4 linked regions of the Oryctolagus cuniculus genome follow. The protein of the gene in region 2 interacts with the protein of the main gene of each other region in a pairwise test. Links are inferred from orthologs where the notes say so. Each region holds a gene or a part of one and is shown on either strand. Other genes may lie near its edges.

Region 1 (4,093 bases), on a different chromosome or scaffold from region 2:
AAGACCTTGGGCCCCTGCACCCATGTGGGAGACCCAGATGAAGCTTCAGGTCCCTGGCTTCAGCCTGGCCATTGCAGTCACTTGGAGAATGATCCATTGGATGGAAGTGTCCCCCACCCCACCCCCCCCCAGCCTCTCTAACTCTGACTTTCAAATAAATAAATCAATCTCTTAAAAAAAAGACACACCTACATCTGGGCAACTTTTTTATTCTGTGGTGTTCGAAGGAACTAAACATCTGCTGGGCCTTCAGCCTGTGGGTCCCTCTGCCTCGGCCTCATCCCCAGACCCCTTCAAGTCCTGTTAGTGACCTGTGCCACCTCCAGTGCACAAACACAGCTTCTGGCCTCAACAGCCCAGCGGCCTCATCGGCACCTCTGCCTTACTGTCCTCCACTCCCCACCTGCACGGTCTCCTGGCTTTTCCTGCCTTTGCCTCCTCCCCACCATGCAACCCCCTCTGTGACTGCAGACCTGGGCACCCATATGCCAAGTTTCATGCTTCGAGGCTACCTACCCTGATGGTCTAGTATGGGGGCCTGTCCTGTGGTTAACACATGGTCTTTTAAAAAAATGAATTGTGCACTTTTAAATGGCTGGAACTTGCGGTATATAAATTATTTCTAATTTTTAAAAAATATTTGACTTATTTATTTGAGAGGTAGAGTTAGAGAGAGAGAGAGAGAGAGAGAGGTCTTCCATCTGCTGGTTCACTGCCCCGATGGCTGCAACGGCTGGAGCTGTGCCGATCCAAAGCCAGGAGCCAGGAGCTTCTTCCAGGTCTCCCACACAGGCGCAGGGGCGCAAGCACTTGGGCCATCTTCTACTGCTTTCCCAGGCCATAGCAGAGAGCTGGATTGGAAGAGCAGCAGCCAGGAGTTGAACTGGCGCCCATATGGGAGGGATTCCAGCACCGCGAGCAGAGGCTTAGCTCACTGCACCACAGCACTGGCCGCAACAAGTAGTCTTGCCTCTGACACACTTGTGCTCCAGTTTCCCAACCTGTGAGCCAGGCTTGCTGGGAGGAGTAAATGTGCTAACACTCACACCACGCTGTTTCCGGGTTACTCTAGTGACAGCACCTAGTAGGCACTTCGTGGAAGCTTACAGAATGCCCACATATGGAGGGCGGGGCACCGCCACCCTCGCCTGCGGTCAGTCCTCTGCCATGCCTGCCTCGGCCAGCAGAGGGAAGCAGCGCCCTGCCCTGCAGTGTCGGGCAAAGGGGCGGGCTGGGAGGGGCTGGACCGCCCGGCCGGCCCCGCGGGGATGAGACGGGCTAGACGCGACTGCATTGTGGGGAGGGAGGCTGGGGCTGCTCGGCGACGCAGTCTTGGCGCTGCCAGCTGCTGCTTGGTCCCCGCCGGCAGCCCGCCCAGGTAGGCAGGAGCCGGGGCTGGCGCGGGCACGGGGCGCTGCGACCGCCAGGGCGAGGGGTGCCGCGGCGGGGCGTGCTCGCACTGAGGAGCAGCTGGGCTCAGGCGAGGGCGCACAGGAGCCACCCAGGCGCTAAGCCCTCACCTCCCCACACTGGTGACCTCCCACCAGGGGGTGGCCCTGGCACCAGGAGGTTGGGAACAGGGGCTTCCGACCCCAAATAGGAGCCAGTGCCAGCCCTGGGTAGGGTGCAGAGCAGGGAGGCTGCCGGCCTGGCTCCCCACCCCCACAGCCACCCAACTGGCCCAGCCAGGTGGCAGCAGCCCGCCCTGCCCCTCACCCTGGAGCCTGCTGCCATGCACTGTGGGGGAGGCGGAGACCCCAACCCAACCACACCTGTGCCTGTACCACGGGCCCTGTGGCTCTCCATTCCCTACCGGCAACATGGGTGGTGGGGGTTGGCAGCGGGGGCAGACCCAGCCACGGGTTGGGGTCCGGGTGACTGAGTGTCCTCCACGCCCCTTGTGCAGCATCCTTCACTGGTACCGCCCGCTACCACCACACTGCACCTGGCACGGCTCAGGGCTCTGTGCTCCTTGGCCAGTCTTCCAGCGGGCGGGGGGCGGGGGCGAAGGTCTTCTGGACGAACTGCCTTTGTCAGCACCTCCTCTGCCCTCAGCCAGACAAAGGCTGGCATTGAGGGCCAGGGCTGGCACGGCGACCAGGCACCAAGGCTACCAAGGCTGAGACTGGCCCTGTCCCGGGGACTCTGAGGCCTACCCCTGTGCCCTTCACAGGGACCCAGGGGGCTGGGGGGAGGGGCGCCCACGGCGGGCACAGCGTGATGAGGCCAGATGGGGAGGGCTGACAGCAGGAAACCCTGTCCCTTTGTCCCTAGATCCTAGGGGGTGTCTCCTGGGGGCGTGGTGTGGCAGGGAGCCCCCGTGCGGAGCAGCCGAGTGGGGGTAAGAGCACCAGATAGTGGGTCCCTGGTCTGGGCCTCCGGACAGAGGGGACATTGTTGGGGTGGAGGCAGGGCTGCTTTGGCCCGGCCACTAGTGACAAAGCTGCCAGCTGTGGTGGAGCCCGGTCGGCAGGCCCTTGCCCTCCCCCCCCCCCGCCCAGTCCTCTTCCTCCCCCAGGGCCGGCATGAATGGGGCTGAGCCTTGACTGTCTCCCTCCCACTCAGGACAATGCCCCCCACAGCCATCTTGCGCCTGTCCCCACTGCCCTCGGGCAGCTGAGCTGAGGAGCTGGAGCAGGCCACCCGCCCTGGGCTAGCCCTCTGCTGGAGCCCTTCCTGCCGGTAAGTGCCTGGGTCCCGTGTCCCCCAAAGATGTCCCTAGGAGGGAAGGGCCCCAGCAGACACTGCCACCAACTTCCTGTCTGTGCTCCCGAGATAAGGGGCTTGGGGCGCTGCCCTGGGCCTGGGTGGCACATGCCCACACGGCCAGGCGTGTGCACACTGGCTCAGCTTAGGATCTGGGCCTCAGGCTACTGTCCCCTTTCCAGGGGCTCTGCCCGCAGTGAGGTGGTGGCCGCAGCAGGAGAGGCTGGATCCCCTCCCCCTCACTCCCCACCGCACGCTCTGACCTCCGCGCAGCACCCTCCCCAGGTCTCCCCCACCCCTGCCCTGACCACCCCCATTCCCTGCCACCTCCGGACCCGTGCGCCAGTGTCTCAGCCAGCAGCTCCCAGCTGCCTCAGTTTCCCCCCACGCTCCCTCTTGCAGCTGTCCGGGGCGGGTTTTCTCTGCCTGGCCCTCGTGTTGTGCGTGTCCCCACTTACTGCATGGGCCTCCCGGCTCGTCTGTGAGGACATGGTTCCCCCACTCTGTGCCGCCCCACATCCTACTCCCACGCCGGGGCTGGGCGTCCCGGCTTCATTGCATCCCTGCCTCCTCACGCCACGGTGGCTCAGCTCTGCAGCCCGGGCCCTCTGTCACTCACGGTGCCTGCGTTCCTGCATGCGTGGCTTTGCAGGATCTGCCCTCTCTCCCACAATCCAGACGCCTGTCAAGTTGAGATGAAAGAATCCCTTCCTCCCCGGCTCGGCTCGCAGCACGGGGTGCGCCCTCCCCCACTCTCTTTGTCCTTCCTCAGTACCGCCTCTACCTCTGCCTCTCTCTCTCTCTCCCCCTCTGTCTCTCAGCCTCCCCACCCCCTCCCTCTCTCTCCCCGGGAGTCCCTGGCCCCCCTGTCCACCCGCCTGCCCCTGTCTCAGCCCTGCTTTCGGCCCCCTCTGTCCTGGCCCATTGCCCAGACTCGTGCCTTTGGGGAGTGTCATTGTGCCCCCTGGGAGCCGGTGGCTCCCTCCCAATGGGCCCCAGGCTGCCTGGCTCTCTCCTAGGCGCCTGTGATGGCTCCCTGGCCTCCGTTTGGCCTTGGCCTCCTGCTGCTGCTGCTTCTACTGCTGCTGCTGTCCCCAGAGCCACTGCCTTTGACTGGAGCTCACCGCTTCTCGGCCCCCAACACCACCTTCAACCACCTGGCGCTGGCCCCGGGCCGCGGTACACTCTACGTGGGCGCCGTGAACCACCTCTTCCAGCTGAGCCCTGAGCTGCAGCTCGAGGCGGTGGCTGTCACCGGGCCCGTCGCTGACAGTCCCGACTGCCTGCCGTTCCGGGACCCAGCCGAGTGCCCGCAGGCCCAGCTCACTGACAACGCCAACCAGCTGCTGGTGGTGAGCAGCCGGGCCCAGGAGCTGCTGGCCTGCGG
Region 2 (3,559 bases):
CCCGCCCATGTTGCTTTCCCTGGGTTCCCACTACAGACCTGCGCCTGCGCAACAGTGAGGATGTCCGCAGTGCACTCAGTGAGGCCCAGGGGGCTGCCATGCCAGAGATCCAGGAACAGATCCACGACTACAGGTTTGCCAGGGTCCTTGCCCTCCTGCACTACCTCCTAGCACCTCTGCCTCTTGGCCCTTCCCTCGCTCTGTGTGTGTGTATTTATGTTTGCCTCACTCCTGGGTGTGCATCTAAGGAGTGTTTGTACATTTGTTCCTTGCTGTGTATCTCTCTGGCTTAGAACAAAACGCACTCTGGGGCTGGGCAGCCTGTATGGTGAAAATGACCTGCTGGACCTGGATGGGGACCTTCTCCGAGAGCGCCAAGTGGCCGAGAAGCAGCTGGCTGCCCTTGGAGATATTCTGTGAGTCTTTAGATCTCCTCCCACCCCCCACCCTCACCAAATATGCCCAACAGGTTGACAGGTTTTAGGGGTTTCTTTTCCAGCTTCCCTCTAGCTATTCTTGCCTGGTTGTCCTTCCCCTGAAGTGCAGGGCGAGCTGGGTTTCTTAGGCAGAGGGCTGCCCTCGTGCATGGGGGTTGCTGAACCTTGGGGCTCCCTGTTGTAATATGGTGGTCATGACAGGCACTGGGCTCCAGGAATGTGGTGAGCTTTCTGCTTCTCCTTTCTAGCCCTCTTCCTAAACTTCCTCCCTTCCTGCCTCTAAGACCATGTCTGACACAGCGTGAGCCCAGCGCTGCGAGTCTCTGATAGATAAAGCTTCTGCAGAACTTCATTAAGGGAAATGGAATCACTTTTACTAATTATCGCAGAAATCTGAAGTTACCTGATTCAGGAGCTGCTGGCACACCTGCTATGCTCTTTTAGAGACATTTTCTAAATGTCAGGGGTGCCTGTGATATGAGTCCCAACGTGACAGGCTTTGTGGGAACATTTCCAGGCTTAGCAGTTTTTTGCCCCAGTACTGCTTCTCACTAAGTAAACGCATGACCTTGGCCAAGCCATTTTATCTCGCTGGGCCCCACGTACAGAATGATCAGAGTTGGACTGGATGATCTCCATAGCCTCTGGGAATGCTGCTGTTTCAATTTCATGGCTCTCCTGTACCAAATGTGGTTCTGCCTCCGGCATTCCTGGGATGCAGTAGTGAACAAAGCAGCCCTACCTCTCCAGAGCTTACATCGTAATGGGAAGAGCCATTAGTGCTTAACAAAGAAGTAATGGGGTAGTATGTTACAAAGAAGTGCTGGAGGAGAAAGTAGAGCAGGCTGGGGAGGACCAGGAGAACTAGAGCCCGTGGGTTGCGAGTCTAACCTGGACAGTCGGACAAGCCACAGGGCAAGGGAACCTGATAAAGCCAGAGGGGACAGGAGGGGTGGCCGTGCAGAGCCTTGTGGACAACCACACCCACTCTGGGTTTTTCTCTGAGTGAGAGCCACTGGAGCTGTGCGAGACTAGATGGGGCCCAGGACAGGAGAGCTGGGGAAGGCTCTGCCGAGGGTTCTGTAGGACAGCGTGTGGCAGCCAGCCAACCAGACTGGGAGAAATGGTGGAGGCTGTGAAAAGAGGTCCCCTCTAGGTGTATGTTGATGCTAGAGCCACCATGACTGCGGGGAGTGAGGAAAGAGAAGCACCAAGGAAGACCCTCAGGATTTCTCTTTCTGTCTGAGCTACTGAAAGGGCGAAGGTACCAGCAGTCAGAATAGGGACAGTTACAGGGGAGCAGTTTTGAGATAGAAAATGAGGACATGTTAAACAGTACCGGGTAGGCGTTCCATACACAAATCCGGCATTTGAGGAGGTCTGGCCAGGGATGAGATGGATGAGATCACACAGAGCAGGAATGCTTTGCAGACTTGACCGTCTGACCCTCAGCCAAGCCCTGAATCTTTCTGAGCCTTGGTTTCCTAGCAGTCAGATGGCACTAAACCAGCTCAGCCAGCTCCAGGATGGAGGCAGGACTGACCGAGCCTATTTGGACATTAGATGGGTTAGTATATACAGACAGCTTAGCATGATGCCTGGCCCGTGGGGAACACTCAGATGCTGCTGTTTCCATTTATGTCTTCTAAAAAGATTTGTTTGGATCCAGTCTCAAGGTATTGTTGCTTCCTTCTCATCTTCTGTCCTCCTGCCTCAGTGATGCTCCAACCCTTCTTTTTAATTTTTTTTAAGATTTACTTATTTATTTGAAAGGCATAGGGGCCAGCGCTGTGGCCCAGTGGGTTAATGTCCTGGCCTGAAGCACCAGCATCCCATATGGGCACCGGTTCGAGTCCTGGCTGCTCCACTTCCTATCCAGCCCTCTGCTATGGCCTGGGAAAGCAGTAGAAGATGACCCAAGTCCTTGGGCCCCTGCATCCACATGGGAGAACCAGAAGAAGCTCCTGGCTCCTGGCTTCAGCCAATTAGGGAGTGAACCATCGGATAGAAGTCCTCTCCCCCACCACCTCCTCTCCTCTCCTCTCCTCTCCTCCTCTCCTCCTCTCCTCCTCTCCTGTCCTCTGCATAACTCTGATTTTCAAATAAATAAAAAATCTTAAAAAGAAAGGCATAGTGACAGAATAAGAAACTGAGGAAGAAGGAGAGAGAAAGAAAGAGGGACATCTTCCATCCCCTGATTCACTCCACGAATGCCTCCAACAGTAAAGGCTGGGCCAGGCTAAAGCCAGGAGCCATGAACTCCATCCAAGTGTCCTGGGCAGGTGGCAGGGACTCGAGTACTTGAGCCATTATCTGCTGCTTCCCAGGTACATTAGCAGGAATCATTCAAAAGCAGAGTAGTCGGGACTTGAACCAGGCCCTCCAATACAGAATGGAGACTTAACCTACTGCTCCACAATGCCCAGCCCTCACCTCTGCCCTTCTAACTCAGTCCTAGGTGGGTACAAAAAGGAGCCTCTTTCTGTATAACTTCAGACACCAAAAACATAGCAAGCGAGAAGCTTGTGTTTACCACATTGCCCTTCCATTTCACTAGAAAGACATTGTCGTCATCATCATTGTCATCATCATCACTCTGCCATTAGAGTCCCTTGAGGGAAGAACTCTCACCTACTGAGCCCCAAGCTGGCTCTAGAGCTGTGACCAAGAGTCTGGCCTTTCATCATACTCCTCCCTTCTCCCCACCAACCCGCCCTTCCTCTGAGAAAGAGCTTACCCTCCTCCCAGCCTCTGCCCAGGCGACAAGCCTCTGTCTTTGCTGTGTGAGTCATCTGTTCTTTTCTTTTGTTCCAGGTCCAAATACGAGGAAGATAGGAGGTGAGTCCATGATGTGGTTCATTTGCAGCTTTCAAGGTGGGAAGGTGTGGGGCTGATCTGTGCTTTGCATTTTTGCTCATTACAGGGAGCCCCTAGCTTTGTAAGACCACGTAAGAGCCTGGTCTGCAAGTTTCATTCCCTGATGACTGTAATTGTAACACGTGGGGGTCATGAGATGGTCCAGGCCCCTAATGCTCAAGGATCACCACCTGAGGGTGTGAGTGGCTCCTAATACCTGCTTCCTCCTCTCCACCCAAATCAGCCCTGTGGCTTCCTTCCCACCT
Region 3 (4,009 bases), on a different chromosome or scaffold from region 2:
CTGACCAAGATAAGGTGGAAGGGCCAGGAAGGCCACTAAGTCGGGGCACAGGGGGCCCTAGGCAGCTGTGAGCAGGGTCCCTGTCTGGTTAGCAGAGGGGGTGGGGAGAGGCAGGAGCCTGTGTCAGGGGATATGAAACCACGGAGGGGAAGAAGGCAGAGGAACCACATGCCCTGGAAAGAAGAGGGGACCGGGGGCCCCTCCCACCCCCTCCATCACAGGTTCTGACCTGCCCGTCTCTGCCCAGAATTAGTCAGAGGCCCCACCCCACACACAAATAGCTGTGACCACACGGGGAGAGACTGTGCCCAGCTTCCCTGTCCCTGCACCCACAGAACAGAGGCTGGAGCGAGGGGCTGCTGCTCCGGGGCCCTCTGAGGCCAGGCCTGGGTTTCAGTGCCCACCAGTTCACCCCCGTCTCCCTGGCCCCCTTCCAAGGCAGCAGCAGGAAAGAGAGGCTTAGCCCTGCAGCCAGGGGGCCAGGGCAGAGACCAGCCTGTGGTGGGAGGGGCTCCCGGCAGCCCGCACAGCCCTGCGCCCCTCAGAGGAGGGGAAGGCACAGCCGCCCCCCACCAGGGCACCCCCTGCCCACTCCAACATCCTCTGCACCCCCGCGGGGCCAGGCCCAGCTGAAGCCCCAGGTTGGTCTAGGTCCTGGGGCCTCTGCCATATGGACACACTGGCAGCTGCAAGCCCACCCAGTGCCTATCCAGTCCTATCCCTTCTGCTCCACTTGCCTGGGCAGGGGGCACGGCAAGTCCCCCGCCTCCTGCACGTGGGCCCCAGCTGCCGGCTCTGCCTCCCCACTGCAGTCCCTTCGTAGCCTGCTAGGCACAGAACCACAGGCACACCCAGGGACGGCCCCAGGGAGCAGCTCACAGCAGGGACCCAGCTGTGGCCTCAGTCTCCCCACCTGTGGGCCGGGTTGACAGGGACCACATGCAAGTACAGCAGTCCACAGACAAGGGCTGGGCTGGGGAGGGCCTCAGTCCCTCAGCTGCCGACCAGCAGACAAGACGGGGGGGGGGGGGGCCCTCCAGCCCGGCAGGCTGTTCCCTTTAACCACAACCCTGCCAAACTCGGGGTGAGAAGAGGAGCAAGGCTCAGGGGCTCTCGAAGCCAGGGCTCCCCTGGCTGAGAGCGCCTTCTGCCCACCGCCTCCCCTGGAGGGGCCTGGGCCCCCTGCAAGGCTGAGCAGGGCCCACCGGAGCTGACACCGGGGCCTTCTCCAATCCAGGGGTGACGCATCGCCTCCTGCCCCACCCCCAGCCGGTCTGAGCAGCCTCAGGAGGGGAGGAGCTGCCCAGACTCGCCCGGTCTCCCTCCAGGGGTTCTCACCCACCGCCCGGAAATGGATCCTTCTCCCACGGCTGCAGGCTGCGGCCTTTCCCTCTCGGGTGGCTGGACACGGCTGGATAATCCAAAATAATTCCATCTTGGCAGGCAGCCGGCGGGGGAGGGGGGCCTCACATTCCAAACTCAGTAACTTCCCTGGCCTCCTGCAGCCGGGAGCCCCCGGCCAGACCTCAGACGGAGGCGGCGTCCGGAGGTATGGCGGGGGTGTGAGCGGAGGTGTGGGAGCTGGCTCGGGCCAGCCAGGCCCACCTGTTTGCTGCTGTCTTCTCCCGGACACTAAAAGCTGACACAGCACGGAGATAGCAGCGAGCTGACCGCCCTCCTCCCCTCCGGGCAGGGGCGGGGCTGCTGTCCAGCCCCCAGGGAAGCATCTGGGCTCGGGGTCTCGAGCTGTCACCTGGAGAGCCCTCCGCACGGGGTGGGGGGGGCACAAGCCAGACTGGAGGAGGGAGTTTCCAGCCTCACCCCCACTTCTGGCTTCTGCCACAGGTCATGGCAGGCACACACAGCCTTCCTTCCTTATCCAAGGAGCTGGGAAAGCTCCAGGGCTCCTGAGGTCAAAGACTCCCATACAGGACAGGCAGGATGCCCCCCCACAGCCAGAGCTCTGCCGAACAGCCTGAGGACAGAGGTGGCGGGAAGGGTCTATCCAGGAGGGCTTCCTGCAGGAGGAGGCATGTGGAGGTGCAGCACCAGTCGGTGAAGGGCAAGGCCAAACCACCGAACACACCCCCACCCGCCAGCCAGGTCTTAGACTTCCTGGGTCCCAGGTGCCCACCCAACGGGAACCACACCAGGAACCGGAGACACCCCGCGGGAAGCAGGCTCAGGCCTGGGAGCTGCGCACACACTGGGTGCGGGTCTCTCCCACTCCCGCACCCCTGCCAAGGCCGGACCGCGGGGAAGCCTGGGCGAAGTCGGCAGTCCGCGAGGGCTGCGCGGGAGGCTGGGCCCGGGGCCCATACACGGCCGGGACCCCCCTCGCTCTGGCGCGGATCTCCGCGCCTGAGGAGGCGGGGGCGTGGGTGGGGCGGAGGATCCGGAACCAGACACGGTCCGGAGCGGCTCCGAGGGACGCGGGCCACCGCGTCCCCGGCCGCCACCTGGAGGCGCGTGGGGCGGGGGCAGCCGCTGCAGCCGCGGGACCCAGACGGCGGCCCAGGCCCCAGCCGCGCTCCGCCGAGCCGCAGCCGCCTCCCGGTCGCGCGCCGGAGCGCGTCGGGCCAGGCGGGGCGGCGCTGACGGCGGAGCCCCCAGCCCAGCTAAGCGGCCCCGCAGGCCCCGGCCCCGAGCTCGTACCTGCACGTCGGCCGCCGAGGCTCGATGGCGCCCGGGCCGCGTTCGCCGCTGCGCTCCGGCCCGCGCGGCTGCCATGGAGACGGGCCTTTGTGTGGCCGAGGAGGGGCCGGAGCGCGCGGGAGCCGCCGGCCCCGCCCCCGACGGGGGAGGGCGAGGGCCGGCGGGGGAGGGGCGGGGGCCGGCGGGGGAGGGGCGGGAGGGGGCGGCGACGGCTGAGCTCGCGGCGCGCCCCGGAGCCCCCAGGCCTGGCGCCCTCGCGCGCGGCCTCGCCGGGAGGTTGGGCGCGGGCTCGGGCCCGCCCTGTCGCTGTCAGGGTCTCCCCCGGCCTAGGCACCACTTCGGGGACGCCCCCTGGGCTCGGCACTAGGGCAGCGCTTCGGCCCCGCCCGCACGAAGGTCCCTAGGGCACCTGCGGGCGCTAACCCACCCCCAGATTGGGCGCAGGCTGGCTGCACTCGGGGCCGCTGGACCTGGCCCCTTTCAGCTGCCCCCAGCCTCTTAGGGCAGAGGACACCTGGGGGCATCCTGGCGGCGCAGCCAGCACCCCACGTCGGCGCCTGGCTGGAGACCCTGCTGCTGAGCGTCCCCTCCGGCTCCCAGGTCGATGCCCCAAGTGCTTGGGCCCCTAACCCCACGCAGAGGTCCCGGCCTCGGGCTTTGGCCTGCCCCTGCCCTGCCCTGCCCTGCTTGCGACCGCTGGAGAGCGAACCAACGGATGGAAAAGCGGTCGCTTTGCCTTTCAAATTAATGAATAAATAAGTGTCAAAAAAACCAACCAACCTATGTCTCCACCTGCTGCCTTCCCGCTCCCCCAGCCCAGCACATCTGGGCCTTCCTGGGCAGCTGGAGACCCAGCGCCGTCCTCCAGGGGCTAGGGGTGGGTGGAAGGAAACCACTCTTCCTGGGGACCTGCCATGCCCCACAGCATCCACACCTTGGTGCCCGTCCCCTCTGGCTCCTGCAGCCCCTCCCCCCAGCTTTGTACAATTCCTCCACCCCTACCCCCCGACCCTGGGGACCTGCCCCCAATCCTGGATCCAGGACTCCCAGAGGCAGACAAAGCCTGGATGAAATCTGATAAGACCCGGCCACTCAGTTCTGGCCTCTCTGCCCTCCGCTGTCCCTGCCCAGACCTTCTCCCCAGTCCTGAACCACAGTCTACACATGGCCACCCTGCCCCAACGGCAAGGGACCCCAAAATTACCAGTGTCTCACCGGGGCTGCCAAGTTTTTATCAAAAAAGGAAGTTAGAAGACAAGCATTGTCACAAAAGGCCATTTTAATACCAAAAGATGTGGGGAGGCCAGCATCCCAGACTCAAAGGCGATCTTTAAATAGCAGGCAGGAAGCTTGA
Region 4 (3,559 bases), on a different chromosome or scaffold from region 2:
GACCACCTGTCCGTGGTGCAGGGGCAGGGGCTGCTGGGTCCGTCTGGGGAGCCCGCAGTGCAGCCCAGCACCCCCAGCCTGCCCTGTGCCTGCAGCCTCGTGTGCGTCACTGGGGCCAGTGGGGAGGAGGTGACCGGCCCAGCCACAGTGGAGGTGCAGGGAAGAGGACGCGGTGTCTCCGACGTTGCCTTTGCCTACCAGGTGCTGACTGCTGAGCCCCGCCCTCGGCCTGCGGCTTTCCCCTTCCTGGGGCTCCGCCCAGGGCCATGTCTGTCTTGGGCTCCCTGCCTCTGTTCCAGGCCTGATGGTGGCTATCTCTTGCTATTCTCCCTCCCCTAGGACCCGCAGGTGCGTTCCATCTTCCCCACCCATGGGCCCAGAGCCGGGGGCACCCGCCTCACCCTGCGCGGCTCCAACCTTCTGACCGGGCGGCTGGAGGACATCCAAGTGGTGGTTGGAGAGCAGCCGTGTCACCTGTGAGGACCGTTTTCTCTTGTGGAAGTCCATGCACCCCAGGGAGACAATGGGGTGGGAGGAAGTGGGGGAGGCAGCAGAGGGAGGGGTGCGGTGGGAGAGCAGCCTTTAGGGCCGGCAGGGTGCGGTGGGGAGGAACGCCGTGAGTGCTGAGGGGGCTGGGCCTGCCTCCCTCTCCTCTCCTCTGCAGGCTGCTGGAGCAGCAGTCGGAGCAGCTGCAGTGCGAGACCAGCCCACACCCGGTGCCTGCCACTCTCTCCGTGGCGGTGTGGTTTGGGGCCACAGAGCGGAAGCTTCAACAAGGCCAGTTCAAGTACACGTCGGATCCCAATGTCACCTCTGCTGGCCCTACCAAGAGCTTCCTCAGGTGCTGGGCAAGGGTGTGGCTGCACGGAGCTGGGAACCCTGTGCCACAGATGGGCTCGTGCCATGGGGCTGGGGCTAGGCTGAGCTTGGATCTTGGTCACAGGAGCCACAGTGGCTCACACGCTGTGTTTCAGTGGCGGCCGTGAGATCTGGGTCCGTGGCCAGAACCTGGATGTGGTGCAGACGCCAAGAATCCGAGTCACAGTGGCCCCCGGAGCGCTGCGGCCCAGCCCCGGGCAGGGACGGCGGCGCCGTGTGGTCTCCGAGACGCCATGTGCCCCTGGAGCTTCCTGTGGCGGTCATCGCGTACGGCGCCCCGGGCCTCCCCTGCCTGCCCTGGGGCCCCCACTCCGCGCCCCGAGGACAGCCGAGGGGCGTGCATCCCGCCTTTCCTCACCCCCCCACCTACCTCCTTGTCTTCCTCCTGCCAGTTCGAGGAGCCCTGCAGCGTGAACTCCTCCCAGCTCATCGTGTGCCGCACACCCGCCCTCCCGGGCCTGCCCGAGGACCGCCGGGTCCGGGTGGAGTTCATTCTTGACAACCTGGTGTTCGATTTTGCAACACTGAACCCCTCGCCCTTCTCCTACGAGGCCGACCCCACCCTGCGGCCCCTCAACCCCGAGGATCCCACCGCACCCTTCCGGCACAAGCCCGGGAGTGTGTTCTCCGTGGAGGTACTGCGGATCTCCCCACCTCCACCCCCGCTGTTGGACAACTCTGCTGCGCAGCAGAGAGGCTGTGACCGTGGAGTTCGAGGCCGGGGCGGCCGCGGCTCCTCATCCCTGCTGTGGCCGGGGCAGAAGGGGCCAGTGTGAAGGTGCCCGGCCTGGCACGGGCGGGGCTCTGACCCTGACCCCGGCAGGTGTCTGAGTGGCAGTATGTCTGGCTTGGTGTGCGTGGTAGCTGTGCCGTGGCTGGGCTGGTTCTCCTCTGGCAGCCCGGCTCACACAGATGCAAGGGCACCTGTTATGCACATGAGGTTGGCAGTAGGTGGGCACTGAGGCCACAGCTGGTTACTCTACCAGTAGATGCAGTGGGAACTCAGGTTGTGTTGGGAGCCTGGGCAGCGTGGGAGGGCATCTCGGGCTGTTGGCTCCGCGTGCAGAGTGGTACTGAGGGACCAGGGGCTGGGATCTGGGTTCGGCATGACTGATCTGTGACCCCATCTATATGCCAGGGGGAGAATCTGGACCTTGCGATATCCAAGGAGGAGGTGGTGGCCATGATAGGGGACGGCCCCTGCGTGGTGAAGACCTTGACCCGGTACCACCTGTACTGCGAGCCCCCCGTGGAGCAGCCCCTGCCACGGCACCTCGCCCTCCGAGAGGCGCCCGATGCGTTGCCCGAGTTCACAGTCAGTGGGCAGGTCCCGGGCTGGGCTGCGCTGGGCTGCGCTGGGCGTCGGGCGTGTGCTGGATCCCTGTTGACCGGTGCCTCCGTATCCAGGTGCAGATGGGGAACCTGCGCTTCTCCTTGGGCCACGTGCAGTATGACGGCGAGAGCCCCGTGGCGTTCCCTGTGGCAGCCCAAGTGGGCTTAGGAGTGGGCACCTCACTTCTGGCCCTGGGCGTCATCATCATCGTCCTTATGTACAGGTGGGTGTGGCCAGGTGTGTCTGGCCGAGGGAGAACAGACCAGGGGAGTGGGCCAGGGGCTAATTTTTTTGGCTTGGTGGGCCTGGTGGTCTCTGTGGCAACTACTCAAATCTGCCACCTGGCATGAGAGCGGCCACGGACAGGGTGGAACCACCCGGGTGGCTACGATCTGTAGTTACAGAAGTAGGCTGTGGGCGGGCTTGGGCCTGGGTGCCATAGTGATCACACCGGGCTCCACTGTGCCAGGTCCCACAGGGCATGGGAGGCAGTGACTTGACGGGGATGGGACAGGCTAAATTGTTTTGGGCTAGCTGGGCTGGGCTGGCCTGGGGGAGGCCAGGGTGTGCCTGGGCCAAGTGGGACCCAGCAGGGCTTCAGGCCCCTCCGGCCATCCCCGCCGACCTCGGTGTGAGCAGGAGGAAGAGCAAGCAGGCCCTGAGGGACTATAAGAAAGTCCAGATCCAGCTGGAGAACCTGGAGAGCAGCGTGCGTGACCGCTGCAAGAAGGAGTTCACCGGTGAGGCTGTGGGCGCAGCCCCTCGCCCCCACCCCAGCCCCGCCCCAGCTGCTCCCGGCGCATGCGCCAAACCCAGCCCCTGCTGCTCCACAGACCTCATGACCGAGATGACGGATCTCACGAGCGACCTCCTGGGCAGCGGCATCCCCTTCCTGGACTACAGGGTCTACGCCGAGAGGGTCTTCTTCCCCGGCCACCGGGAGTCGCCCTTGCACCGGGACCTGGGCGTGCCCGAGAGCAGGCGGCCCACGGTGGAGCAAGGGCTGGGGCAGCTTTCCAACCTGCTCAACAGCAAGCTCTTCCTCACCAAGGTGCCTCCCCCTCCTCCTCCTCCTCCCTGGCCCGGCCCTGGCCTTGGCCTTGGCTTCCCACTGTTCCTGAAGCCGGCGCTCTCTCCGGCTGCAGTTCATCCACACGCTGGAGAGCCAGCGCACCTTCTCGGCCCGGGACCGCGCCTACGTGGCCTCCCTGCTCACCGTGGCGCTGCACGGCAAGCTCGAGTACTTCACCGACATCCTGCGCACCCTGCTCAGCGACCTGGTGGCCCAGTATGTGGCCAAGAACCCGAAGCTGATGTTGCGCAGGTCCGTGGCTTGCGGGGGGGGGG

The links.
Region 1: the proteins of ARHGEF11 (region 2) and PLXNB3 interact in a two-hybrid assay, tested with the Homo sapiens proteins (2 studies listed by BioGRID and IntAct). The link is inferred for Oryctolagus cuniculus from reciprocal best matches to the Homo sapiens genes ARHGEF11 and PLXNB3.
Region 3: the proteins of ARHGEF11 (region 2) and PLXNB2 interact in a two-hybrid assay, tested with the Homo sapiens proteins (2 studies listed by BioGRID). The link is inferred for Oryctolagus cuniculus from reciprocal best matches to the Homo sapiens genes ARHGEF11 and PLXNB2.
Region 4: the proteins of ARHGEF11 (region 2) and PLXNB1 interact in a two-hybrid assay, tested with the Homo sapiens proteins (2 studies listed by BioGRID). The link is inferred for Oryctolagus cuniculus from reciprocal best matches to the Homo sapiens genes ARHGEF11 and PLXNB1.

What each region holds. Positions count from the first base shown.
Region 1 is NC_091453.1:132,124,058-132,128,150, forward strand, and holds the start of PLXNB3 (plexin-B3), read left to right. Parts: upstream 1-1,239; 5' UTR 1,240-1,378; intron 1,379-2,274; exon of another isoform or gene 2,275-2,341; intron 2,342-2,565; 5' UTR 2,566-2,682; intron 2,683-3,725; 5' UTR 3,726-3,734; coding exon 3,735-4,093. UniProt on the Homo sapiens protein: Receptor for SEMA5A that plays a role in axon guidance, invasive growth and cell migration. Stimulates neurite outgrowth and mediates Ca(2+)/Mg(2+)-dependent cell aggregation.
Region 2 is NC_091438.1:41,862,935-41,866,493, forward strand, and holds part of ARHGEF11 (rho guanine nucleotide exchange factor 11), read left to right. Parts: intron 1-36; coding exon 37-133; intron 134-293; coding exon 294-416; intron 417-3,251; coding exon 3,252-3,275; intron 3,276-3,559. UniProt on the Homo sapiens protein: May play a role in the regulation of RhoA GTPase by guanine nucleotide-binding alpha-12 (GNA12) and alpha-13 (GNA13). Acts as guanine nucleotide exchange factor (GEF) for RhoA GTPase and may act as GTPase-activating protein (GAP) for GNA12 and GNA13.
Region 3 is NC_091442.1:123,247,775-123,251,783, forward strand, and holds the start of PLXNB2 (plexin-B2), read right to left. Parts: upstream 2,802-4,009; 5' UTR 2,656-2,801; intron 1,644-2,655; exon of another isoform or gene 1,343-1,643; intron 1-1,342.
Region 4 is NC_091441.1:100,640,831-100,644,389, forward strand, and holds part of PLXNB1 (plexin-B1), read left to right. Parts: intron 1-95; coding exon 96-201; intron 202-339; coding exon 340-476; intron 477-664; coding exon 665-841; intron 842-974; coding exon 975-1,146; intron 1,147-1,271; coding exon 1,272-1,514; intron 1,515-2,017; coding exon 2,018-2,194; intron 2,195-2,286; coding exon 2,287-2,435; intron 2,436-2,851; coding exon 2,852-2,952; intron 2,953-3,045; coding exon 3,046-3,263; intron 3,264-3,357; coding exon 3,358-3,536; intron 3,537-3,559. UniProt on the Homo sapiens protein: Receptor for SEMA4D. Plays a role in GABAergic synapse development. Mediates SEMA4A- and SEMA4D-dependent inhibitory synapse development. Plays a role in RHOA activation and subsequent changes of the actin cytoskeleton.